3 linked regions of the Ovis aries genome follow. The main gene of each other region encodes a partner of the protein of the gene in region 3 in a complex. Links are inferred from orthologs where the notes say so. Each region holds a gene or a part of one and is shown on either strand. Other genes may lie near its edges.

Region 1 (4,123 bases), on a different chromosome or scaffold from region 3:
TGTTGCTTATTTAGAAGCTCATTTATTTATTAGCAAATAGTTATTCAGGACCTACCACACATTAGGTCTTGAAGATACGGAGGTAAGTAATTCAAACAGTTATATTCAAGCTTGCTTTCATTCTAAACATCAGCCAAACTAAGAGAGACTGTGTTTTGCTCGTGAGAGACATGTGGGCAGTGGGGAGTAAGAACTGTCTTTAGAGAGACCATTGAGAGAGGGAGGTGCAGTGAGAAAGTTAGGGCTTCTTCATTTATAACTAAAAGGTTAAGATTGGGTATTTTTTGCTATCCTGAACCTTCTGTTGCAAGTAGTAGAAGAGTCAGTGGGGGAAGACAGTATGAGAGCTTAAATTGCAGTTTTCTAAAGAAAGACCATTCTAACTCCACCCCTTCAGGCTGGACTACATCAGTGTGATCCTCTGAGAGAAAGTGCTGTGAGGGCAGGGTGTGCTGTGTGTGCGTGCTAACTCGGTTAGTGCTTGACTCTTTGTGACCCCATGGAATGGGGCTATCCAGGCTCCTCTGCCCATGGGATTCTTCAGGCAAGATTACAGAGTGAGTTGCCATGCCCTCCTCCAAGGGATCTTCCCGACCCAGGGATGGAGCCCACATCTTTTAAGTCTCCTGCATTGGCGGGCGGGTTCTTTACCACTAGGGCCACCTGGGAAGCCTACCTAACTGCTCCTGCAGGCCCTTCACTTCTTCCTCCAGCTTCCTGGTGCGACTCTGCATCGCCTCCTGCAGGCTCCGGCACTGACGACTCATCTCTGGCAGAGCCGTGGGTGGCCAGGGACCCAGATGGGGAGAGAGCAGTGGAGAAAGGACAGAAGTTGTGGGTGGGGAGGGCTCTGCTTGGTCCAGTGGACAAGTGCATAAAGGTCTGTTGAGGGCCTTCCCTGGCAGTCCAGTGGTTAAGACTTCACCTACCAATGCAGGGGACGCGGATTTGATCCCTGATCTGGAAGCTAAGATCCCATATTCCTCAGAGCCAAAAAACCAAAGCATAAAACAGAAGCAATATTGTAACAAATCCAATAAAGACTTTAAAAATGGTCCACATTAAAAAAAAAAAAATCTTAAAAAAAAAAAGTCTTCTGGATTCTTGTGGTGATCTGAGAAGGTAGGGACAGAGCTAGGAAATAAGACACCCATCCGCTATGGTAGCTCAGTATGTGAATTCAGGCCCTCCTTCCCACCCACTCCCACGGGAGGAGTGAGATAAAGGCTAGGGCTGCGTTTCATAGTCCACGGGACATCAAGCACAAAGCACTGCATGTCACGGAAGGTTCCTGCCCAAGACCACAGAAGGCCCCCTCAGGATTCCTGTGGGTGCAGGGAGGGCTGAGGCTAGGTATGGCGGTTCGAAGTCCTCCTTGTCTCCCTTTCTAGCATCCTTGGGCCCTCCCAGTTGTCCTCTTCCGGGCCCCTGTCTCCCGCCCACCTGCTCGATCAACCTCACACCTGCATATATGGCCTTCCCTTCGCTCCGGGCCCCCTCCAGTTCAGCCTCCAGGTCTTTGATCCTCTGCTTCAGCTGGTCTTCCGAAGCCTTGGCTCGGCGGGCTTCATCCCTCTGCAGAGCTGTGAACAGTCCAGAGCAGCCCTCTGCACTGGTTGGGGGCTCCACTCAATCAATCAGCCCCCATGGCCTTGATGGACTCTGTCCACCTTCAGAAACCTGGCGGCAGCCTGCCAGTCTCTCATCGTCATTCTGTTTCCCTTCCCCGCCTCAGAATCCTACAGACTCTGTTACTAAGAGGGAAAAACTCCCTCTGTGTTCCAGCTATAAAAGTTAGCTTTCTTTATCAACCCTCACGGCCCACCCTGTCCTCATGACCCCAGCTCTTGACAATCTTTTCCCATTAGGGGATGGTTAGAGATCAGCTCAGCCCTCCACCATTGTTCCAAAACTTTAAGCTCCCAGGGATACACAAATGCCCACTGTCTCTGTTGCCGAACTTCTACCCTTCTTACCCAAGCGGTCTTGGAGCACCTCCTTTTCCAGCAGTGCCAGCCTGTGCATGGATTCAGCCTCCACATCTGCCCTGGCAAGACAGCAGACCCTCAGCTTGTCAGGATCTCAGCCTTCCCTACCCTCCTCCCACCCTCCTCCCATACCCTGGACTTCTCTTTTTTTTGTGGGAGATACAAGGACCATTAAATGAGGGATCTCTGATAGCAAAGCCTAATGAGTTCACTACCCAGCTCACAGTAGGTATTTGAAAGATTGTAATGAATATACAAGGAAGGCACACAGCCAGAAGGGATTCATGGGTGCTGATTTTCCCATGTTCCCAGCTCCATGGCACCCGAATATGGATATAAAGGGGGAAGGCCAAGACAGCTCCATCTTGTCACGCAGAGGGATGAATTCTCTCTGGAGGTCTCTGAGCCAGAACAAGGAGAGGCTGGGAGGCACCCACCTCCACCCAGTCTGACTCACCAGCACCTGCATTTCTTTTCTTCTTCTGGGCCCCAGCTTTTGTCCCTTTTTCTTTGGTCTTAGGTGGCATCTCCTTCCTGTCCTGGAGGGAGGGAGGGGGCTCATATTTAGGTCTGGACATGGAGACACTCTCCTGACTCCCTAGACGGAACCAGGAGTCCCAGGAGAATTAGTGCTCTCATCTCCAAGTCTGTCTCTTACACTTTCCAGAAGCTTCAGTTCTTGGTTTCCTTGGAAACTTAGGCAAGGCTGGGGCCAGGGGGAAGGATGAACCCATTTCTCTCTACCAGTCAAGCTCTAAGTACAGAAATCATTCCTCTCAACCCTCTTTCAGAGAAAATAAAGCTCAGTACCTGGCCCCTTCTCTCTTCCCATCATCCTTACCCTGCCTCTTCCTTCCTCCAAGACCCTCACTTGTCTCTGTTGTATCTCCCTGTGGCGTGACCCACTTTCCAGGAGGGGCAGAGAAAAGGCCCAACCAGCTAGGAGCCGGAGGAGGAGATTGTGTTCTGGGACCCAATCCAGAGTGGCAAATTTCATTTGGGGGTGGGACTGAGAACTGGAAGGTTGGGCTTCTGGAGGCTGCACGTTGTCCAGGCAACTGGGAAACATGGAGCTGTTAGGAAGGTACATGCATGCTTGCTCAGTCGTTATAATTGTGTCTGGTAGAAGGGGCTAAATACAATGCTTAAAATACCAAGGTCTCAGAGGGCCAATACTCTTCTTGTCCCCAGATCCTAAGTGTAGTTTGAGGAGAGAGGGCTTTGGAACTGATTAAATATGATTCACTTCTATGTAGCACTGCCTGCAATTTGGACACTTACAAATTATAGATTTACACATCCAAAATAATGCTATTGCGCTGATACAGAGGAAAAGAACTCACGGTAGCCATTTGGGGTGATTTACATTTCCCAAAGTCTCATCAACAAAATGACATTATTAAATAGGCTTAAAATTGAAGATTTCAGGAAGGTATTCTACGGTGAATGAGGGAAAGAAATTCAGGAGATGGTGGTTGAGAGAGTTTCCTATTTCAGATAAATGAGACACAGAGGAGAGTTCGACCTAGGACCTCAAGGTGCTGTGCTAAGTCACCTCAGTCGTGTTCGACTCTTGCAACCTCTTGTGACCCCATGGACTGTAGCCCTCCAGGCTCCTCTGTCCATTGGATTCTCCAGATAAGAATACTGGAGTGGGTTGCGATGCCCTTCTATCCTGACATAGATGCAAATCAAGAAGAAAGGGTACTGGTTAGAGACAGGAGCTTTTGAGTTCTCATCCTTACCCTTCTCCAGATATGTAAATTTGGGTAAGTCATTTTCCTTGCTCAGCCTCAGTTTCCTAAATCTTTGATTTTGTAAATCTTGAAAGGCTTGGATTTTCACCAGGTATTTACAGGACTATCTTCTTTTATGGTGACTTAATATATTTCCTCTTTCTCCCTATTCCTGTCTGTGGTTGATTTTCAGACAGGTGCTGAGAAAATAACCAGCTTGGTTCCCTGTGGCATTGAGTTGATTTGGGCTCCCTCTAGTGGATTTTCTTGACCTTCTAGTAAGTCTCCTGAATTTTTCTATTTAAATTATTTATGGAGCAATGTTGGGGGCACCCCTCATTTAGGGGTGCTGCCTAGCATCTTGCTGGAGTCACGAATAGTTGGAAAAATAAATCTGGG
Region 2 (2,594 bases), on a different chromosome or scaffold from region 3:
AGGCCGACTTCATTTGGGACTCGGGTGGGGTGGGCTTTGGGAAGAGCCGCTACCCACAGAAGTCAGAGGAGCAGAGGCAGGGGTCACACACATGTCTTGGGAGAAAGCCACTGGGATCTTGTTTAAAGGGATATAATGCTTATGAAGTCAGACCCGGGGTTAAGGCTGAGACAGCCATGTAGCTCTGGATCCGGTACATTTCAGAGCTTCCAGTTTCTTGTCTGCAAACTGAGGGTCTTGCACCCCCACCATGGCTGGGGTGGCCCAGCTCACAAAGTGGGAATGGCAAGCCTACGGTGTGTGCCCCAGAACTTGGCTTCTTGACGCTAGGCTGCAAGAGACTGAATTCCAGCGCCTCTTCTTAGCAGCCACTAATTAGCCATGTGTGAAATGGGGATGCAGTTGCTGTATTAAATAAGATAAGACTGTAAAGGTGGTCCCAGGCCACAGATAAAGAAGAGAAGGAGAAAAGGGCTGCTGCTGGAGTCTGTGAAACATGAGGTACACGTGGCAAATGGCAAGTGTTTATTTATAGGTAAATTAGGAAAAGCAGGAAAGTAGTGTGCCTGAGTGGATGGTCATTAGCTGGGCATAGGGAACACAAGGGCCAGGCTTTGGGGGAGGTTTCTTTCTCTGGCAGCTTTGCTGGGGCCTCAGGAGGGACTCAGAGGACCACAGGTGTAGGGGGTGAAGAGCATCAAACAAAGACTTTAAGTAACTCCACCAGGCGTGGGTCCTTGTAGAGCTTTTCCTCCAGAGCCAAGTACTTCAGTGGGGCCAGCTCCTTGTGTCTGAAATCAGAGGGAGGGTTTACAAAGCTGGTACTTTGAGACTTCCCTGGTGGTCCAGTGGTTAAGAATCCTTCTTCCATTGCAGGGGACATGGGTTGGATCTCTGGTCAGGGAACTGAGAGCCCACATGCCGCAGGGCAGTTAAGCCTGCGTGCCACAACCGCTTCTGCCTATGCACCGCAATGAGGACCCAGCACAACCAAAAAAACAAAAGCTGATGCTCCAACATCCTTGTGGGTCCTCTTGGCTCCCGCCACCCCTGCCTCCTCACCGGCTGAGCCGCTGCTCCAGGATACGGATGCGGAACATGGCCTGAGAGCAGTAACTCAGGTATAAGTCTTCATCCTCAGGTGTCAGGGTCACCTGATTCTCCTGATACCACTGCTGCTTCTTCTGCAGCTCTTGAGTCTCCTGTGGGCACGGGGAAGGAGAGCAGGAGGGCTGACCCAAATTGCAGGCTGACCCCGCTCCTGCACAGGGCATCAGACAGCCCCACAAGGTCAGCCCCGTCACCCCTTCTCATAGAAGCGAGAGAAGCAGAGGCAGAAAACCTGGGGCCTTGTTAGAGGGCTATATGTCCACAAGGACTTCCCAGGTGGCTCAGTGGTAAAGAATCAGCCTGCCAATAGAGGAGACGAGGGTTCGACCCCTGACTGGGGAAGATTGCCTGGAGAAGGAAATGGGAACCCACTCTAGTATTCTTGCCTGGGAAATCCCATGGACAGAGGACCCTGGTGGGCTGCACAGTCCATGGGGTTAGAAAGAGTCAGACACAACTTAGCGACTAAACAACAACATGTCCACGAGGTTAGAGCAGGAGTTAGGACTGAGAGCCATGTGACTCTGGTCAAAGTACATTTTCAGAGCTTCCAATCTGTCATCTGCAAAATGAGGGTCATTGCACTCACCCCCACCCGCACCACCATAGAGCCGTTTGTGAAGATTAAATAAGATAATGCAGGGGAACTACACGGTGTGTACCTGACCAACAGAAATGGGTCAAAAACTATAGGAGTTGTTATAATGCTCCAGCCATCCACGCCTCCATCCCTCTGTTCACTCATCCACCTCTCCATCCACCCTTCAACCCAATAAACAAGGATGAGGAAGGACAGCTTGGTCCTTTGGACACACCAGGCACTGACCTCCTCCCCTTCCACCCGTTAGTCCCTCACAAGTCTATGAGATGGTGAGCCAACAGCCCTGGGCTAGTTTTCCGGTGAAGGATGCCGAGGTCCCCACCCCTGCCAGGGCCCCGGCTGCACCTTTTCAAACCGGGCCTGGATGAGGTTGGCTTTGTCAATGAGCCGCTGCTTGAAGTCATTGAGGCACTCCTCCTTGAGGCGCACGGCCTGCCAGCGCGTGAGCTTCTCCCCAGGCGGGAGCTGGGCCAGGAATGGGGCCAGGTAGTCCAGCTGGGCCTCCACCTGTCGCAGGTGCTCCTCGTGTAGCACGCGCTCCTGTAAGGGGACTGAGGGTCGGCTGGACCAGCAGGGGCCGCAGACACCCCCCAGACAGCTCTATGGAGATATGACCACACAGAACCGGGCCCCAAACCCTCTGTGCTTGAGGCCTCAGAGGGCTCTGTGCTGTCTCCTGAGTTCATGGTTATTGGTGACAGCCAACTCTGGTGTCTGTGAGTTCACACATCTCCACTCGAGCCTCAGTACATACCTATCACTCAGCAGATGCTCACTCGATAAATGGTAATAAAGCGTCGTTGTTAATGATGTTAAAAACTGCTGGTGAGTTCCTTCTTTCCCTTCTACCCTCAGGCCTTCATTATGTCCTGTGTTGACCGCC
Region 3 (3,653 bases):
AATAAATATGAGTTTTTAGAAGAGAACTTGAAGGAACTAGCTAAATATTCTGGTCCATTCACCTCCTTGTACGGGAGGGTGTTAGATTCTAAGGGAAAAAATAAGAACAGTATTCCCTGCAAGGGAGCTCTTTCCAAAGTTCAGATCAATTACTCCTACTTCTGGTAGAACTTAGTACATTAGTGTGTTTTTCATAATTCCATTCCATGATTCTTTAGCTATAAAAATGGTTGTGGAAGAGGGACAATGCTAACTAAATTTTCATCCCAGTGTTGTTACTGTAAAGCTCAACAATGTGAAGCTTTTAAAGAAGGAAAACATCCACATCAGTACCATAAGGTTTTTAAATATTTATCTTATGCAGGGCAATGGTACTGTAAAAATTTATGAGTTAGAACAACTATAATACTATAAAATGAAAAATTATTTTAAAGAGTCACATTCGTAAAAGTTATATAACTAACATATTCTGAAAGGGGCTTTTAAGCTCTATTAATCAGAATAAGAGTATAAACCTTTACTGTTTATATTTCTATAAAATCATAAGGAGGGCCTCTCTCTGTCATGTCAGAAAATTTTGTGGGTGAAGATCATAAACCAGATTAAAACTGGAGAAGTTTTGTTCTTTTATGTACTGGAATGGTGACCACTACTGAATGTTGTTTATAAATTTGTGTTTTTCTTTCTCTCTTGAGTTTCTATGATGGAAAAGTACCCTTTTTAAAGCCTGACGTAAATATCATTGAGAAAACTTTATCTTGTTAACTGAAGATATTTAGTGAGGTTAGTGTCTCTTCTGTACTATCTGTTAACAAACAATTTAAGAATTAGACTAATTTTAAGTGCACTGAAAGGTTTAGTTCTTGGGTTTCCAGATGTCTTTGCTTTTCATAAATTAATAAGGAAACTAATTTGTTGCAAAATTCCTATAATACCCATTAATGTTTTAAAATCACCCTAAAACTCATAGAATGTTAGTATTAGAAGGGCTCATTTAGTTAAAACTCCACCACAATTCATAAATGAGAAAACTAAGACTGAGAAAGTGAAATGAATTGCTTATTGCACAATTCAACCATAATGATCCTGTAACTTCAAATCCACTTTTAAAACCCTAATAAAAGTTTTGTGAATCCCGTTTATACATATAGCAGTAGTAATAATAATAATAATAATTATAAAATTGTAAGGGGCAATTAGAAGGAAATTTAATTTTCTAGTCACAGTAAATATGGGCTTCTTTTCTATTAGACATGAAAATTAATTTACCCTCTCATTTTTATAGCAAGTTGCATTTATCACAGAATCAGATATAATCTGTACAAATTATATAATTGTGTTAAACTTAATAAATATGTACTTAAAATAAAATGTAATAAAATTTGTACTTAAAAATTGTTTCTGGTTTAAGGGCTTAAGAATTTATGAAAGATTTTGCTCACTATCAAGTTGAGTTTTTTGATAACTCAGTGGTGCTTTGAGGGAGGAATCCATAACATCATGGAAAATGTAATGGCTAGTGCAATAATGCAGCTGGATATTGAGAAAAGCAGACTGCAACATATTTCGCAATGACAAAGTCATTTTAGATAAAAGAAATGTTGACAGGGTCCAGTTGAATTTCCTCCCCCTGGTGTTCAGTTAGCTTTTGTGCTGTTGTGCTTAATCGCTCAGTCCAACTCTTTGCAACCCCATGAACTATAGCCCGCCAGGCTCCTCTGTCCATGGGGATTCTCTAGGCAAGAATACTGGGGTGGGTTGCCAGCTGACAAATACCAATACAAGACAAGAAAACACAATTATTTATCTCCTCAGTATATATATTGTATTTATACTGACTTATCTATGGACTTTTTAGAATAACGCCAACATATCAGGAGAAAAGGATATTTTGTGAGATGTACCGTGAACTATGTCTATTTCACTCCATTAGCTGAGAGTACATATCTTAGATAATTACTGTAGCCCTTTACCTGACTAGAAGGTGCTATTGCCCAAGTTGAATTGAATGGCATAGGTACTGCAAATGATGGAGAAATAAAGAGAAAGCAAAAATTAAGTAATGGTGAATATATATACCATGCTGATGCTTTGTCTTTTTTCATACTGAACTGGCATGATATAGTTTAGAATGGAGAGCTGGTCTGTGGTGTCCTCCAGAACTGCAGAGATCCTCAGCACGTCTAGAATGGATAGCGGCTTCATGATTTCTGGGCTGATTTCTATGACTGCTTCTTTATCTGTTTCTTCCTTTTCTTCTACAGAAGTATTAGGTGGTTCTCCTGTCACTGACACCGTCACTTCAGAAGGCCAATCTTCTGGAGGAAGATTTGAGGCTTCCAGTTGACCTCTAAAGAAAGAAGGAAGGAAAAAATAAGTCAACCATCAGATGTTTAAAATCACTTAAATCCAAAAACACAGGCAGCATGTAGATGGGTTCCTGTAAAGTCCATTTTGCCATATACTCAAGAGAATGAATGGAAGTACTTTGCAGATGATTCTGCTTAATAACCCCCAGTAACATTCCGACTTCCCAGAGAAAAGCAACTCACTGTTTATTAAAGATGTGGACCCTCTGCTATTTGACTATGCTCAACCAATTTGAACTTGAGCCAAATACACTTTTTTTCTAGCAACATTTTCAGATGCTAACCAAAATTGTCTCATGGTTATGTTAACTGAAAGCTGAGCCTCTCTGTACACCGGGTGCCAAATCAAATCCTGGAGACAGAGTTTGGGGTGGAGAAAAGGATAGCTAGCTTTATTGCTCTACCAGGCAAAGAGGAACCTAAAACCATGTTCTGTCTCAAAAAACCAAGAGTCCCAACCCTAGAGAATTTGATGAGGGTCAAATGTGGGGTCTCTAACAAGATTAGAGTGTGGGCAGAGCTTGCACTTCCTTAATCTCATTTTAGGTGGTGGGTCTTCTAATCTTGATGAGCTTCTCTTGTCCCTTTCATCTTGCCTCTGGTGATTTGGCAAGATGAATTGATTGGGCTTCCCTGATAACTTAGTTACTAAAGAATCCACCTGCAATGTGGGAGACCTGGGTTCTGTCCCTGATTTGGGAAGGTCCCCTGGAGAAGGGAAAGGCTACCCACTCCAGTATTCTGGCCTGGAGAATTCCATGAACTGTATAGTCCATGGGGTTGCAGAGTCAGACAGGACTGGGCTACTTTTCATTTTCACTTTCCCTTGATTAGCTTCCCAGGTGACTCCTGTGGTAAAGAACCCACCTGCCAATGCAGGAGACATAAGAGGTGCTGGTTCGATCCCTGGGTAGGGAAGATCCCCTGGAAAAGGAAATGGCACCCCACTTCAGTATTCTTGCCTGGAGAATCTGTAGGGAACTAGGTTTAAAGAAGGTTGAGAAGTGCTTGCAAACGAGACTCTCAACCAGGGCTGGACATTTTTGCAAACGAGATGTTCTGCCCAGTGTAGGGAACTAGGTTTAAGGAAGATTGAGAAGTGCTTGCTAACGAGACTGTCAACCAGGGCTGAGCATTCTTGCAAATGAGATGTTCAGCTAAAAATCCTATTTGTTCCCATGGGAAAAGAACATTGCTTGCACACAAGGATGTTTCTCTGATTCCTCAAAAGGAACAGACCTTGGGACAAAACGGATTCTAAGTTGATAAGGAAGTTCCCAAAAC

What was found.
Region 1: IQCG (region 3) and CCDC153 share a complex: the UniProt entries of both Homo sapiens proteins name them as parts of the nexin-dynein regulatory complex. The link is inferred for Ovis aries from reciprocal best matches to the Homo sapiens genes DRC9 and DRC12.
Region 2: IQCG (region 3) and DRC7 share a complex: the UniProt entries of both Homo sapiens proteins name them as parts of the nexin-dynein regulatory complex. The link is inferred for Ovis aries from reciprocal best matches to the Homo sapiens genes DRC9 and DRC7.

What each region holds. Positions count from the first base shown.
Region 1 is NC_056068.1:29,498,802-29,502,924, forward strand, and holds the start of CCDC153 (coiled-coil domain-containing protein 153), read right to left. Parts: upstream 2,871-4,123; 5' UTR 2,647-2,870; intron 2,528-2,646; 5' UTR 2,516-2,527; coding exon 2,446-2,515; exon of another isoform or gene 2,161-2,445; coding exon of another isoform or gene 2,121-2,160; intron 2,048-2,120; exon of another isoform or gene 2,043-2,047; coding exon 1,977-2,042; intron 1,608-1,976; coding exon 1,464-1,607; intron 926-1,463; coding exon 677-925; intron 1-676. UniProt on the Homo sapiens protein: Component of the nexin-dynein regulatory complex (N-DRC), a key regulator of ciliary/flagellar motility which maintains the alignment and integrity of the distal axoneme and regulates microtubule sliding in motile axonemes.
Region 2 is NC_056067.1:25,289,565-25,292,158, reverse strand, and holds the end of DRC7 (dynein regulatory complex subunit 7), read right to left. Parts: intron 2,252-2,594; coding exon 2,057-2,251; intron 1,203-2,056; coding exon 1,063-1,202; intron 792-1,062; coding exon 698-791; 3' UTR 503-697; downstream 1-502. UniProt on the Homo sapiens protein: Component of the nexin-dynein regulatory complex (N-DRC) a key regulator of ciliary/flagellar motility which maintains the alignment and integrity of the distal axoneme and regulates microtubule sliding in motile axonemes.
Region 3 is NC_056054.1:191,034,589-191,038,241, reverse strand, and holds part of IQCG (dynein regulatory complex protein 9), read right to left. Parts: intron 2,351-3,653; coding exon 2,080-2,350; intron 1-2,079. UniProt on the Homo sapiens protein: Component of the nexin-dynein regulatory complex (N-DRC), a key regulator of ciliary/flagellar motility which maintains the alignment and integrity of the distal axoneme and regulates microtubule sliding in motile axonemes.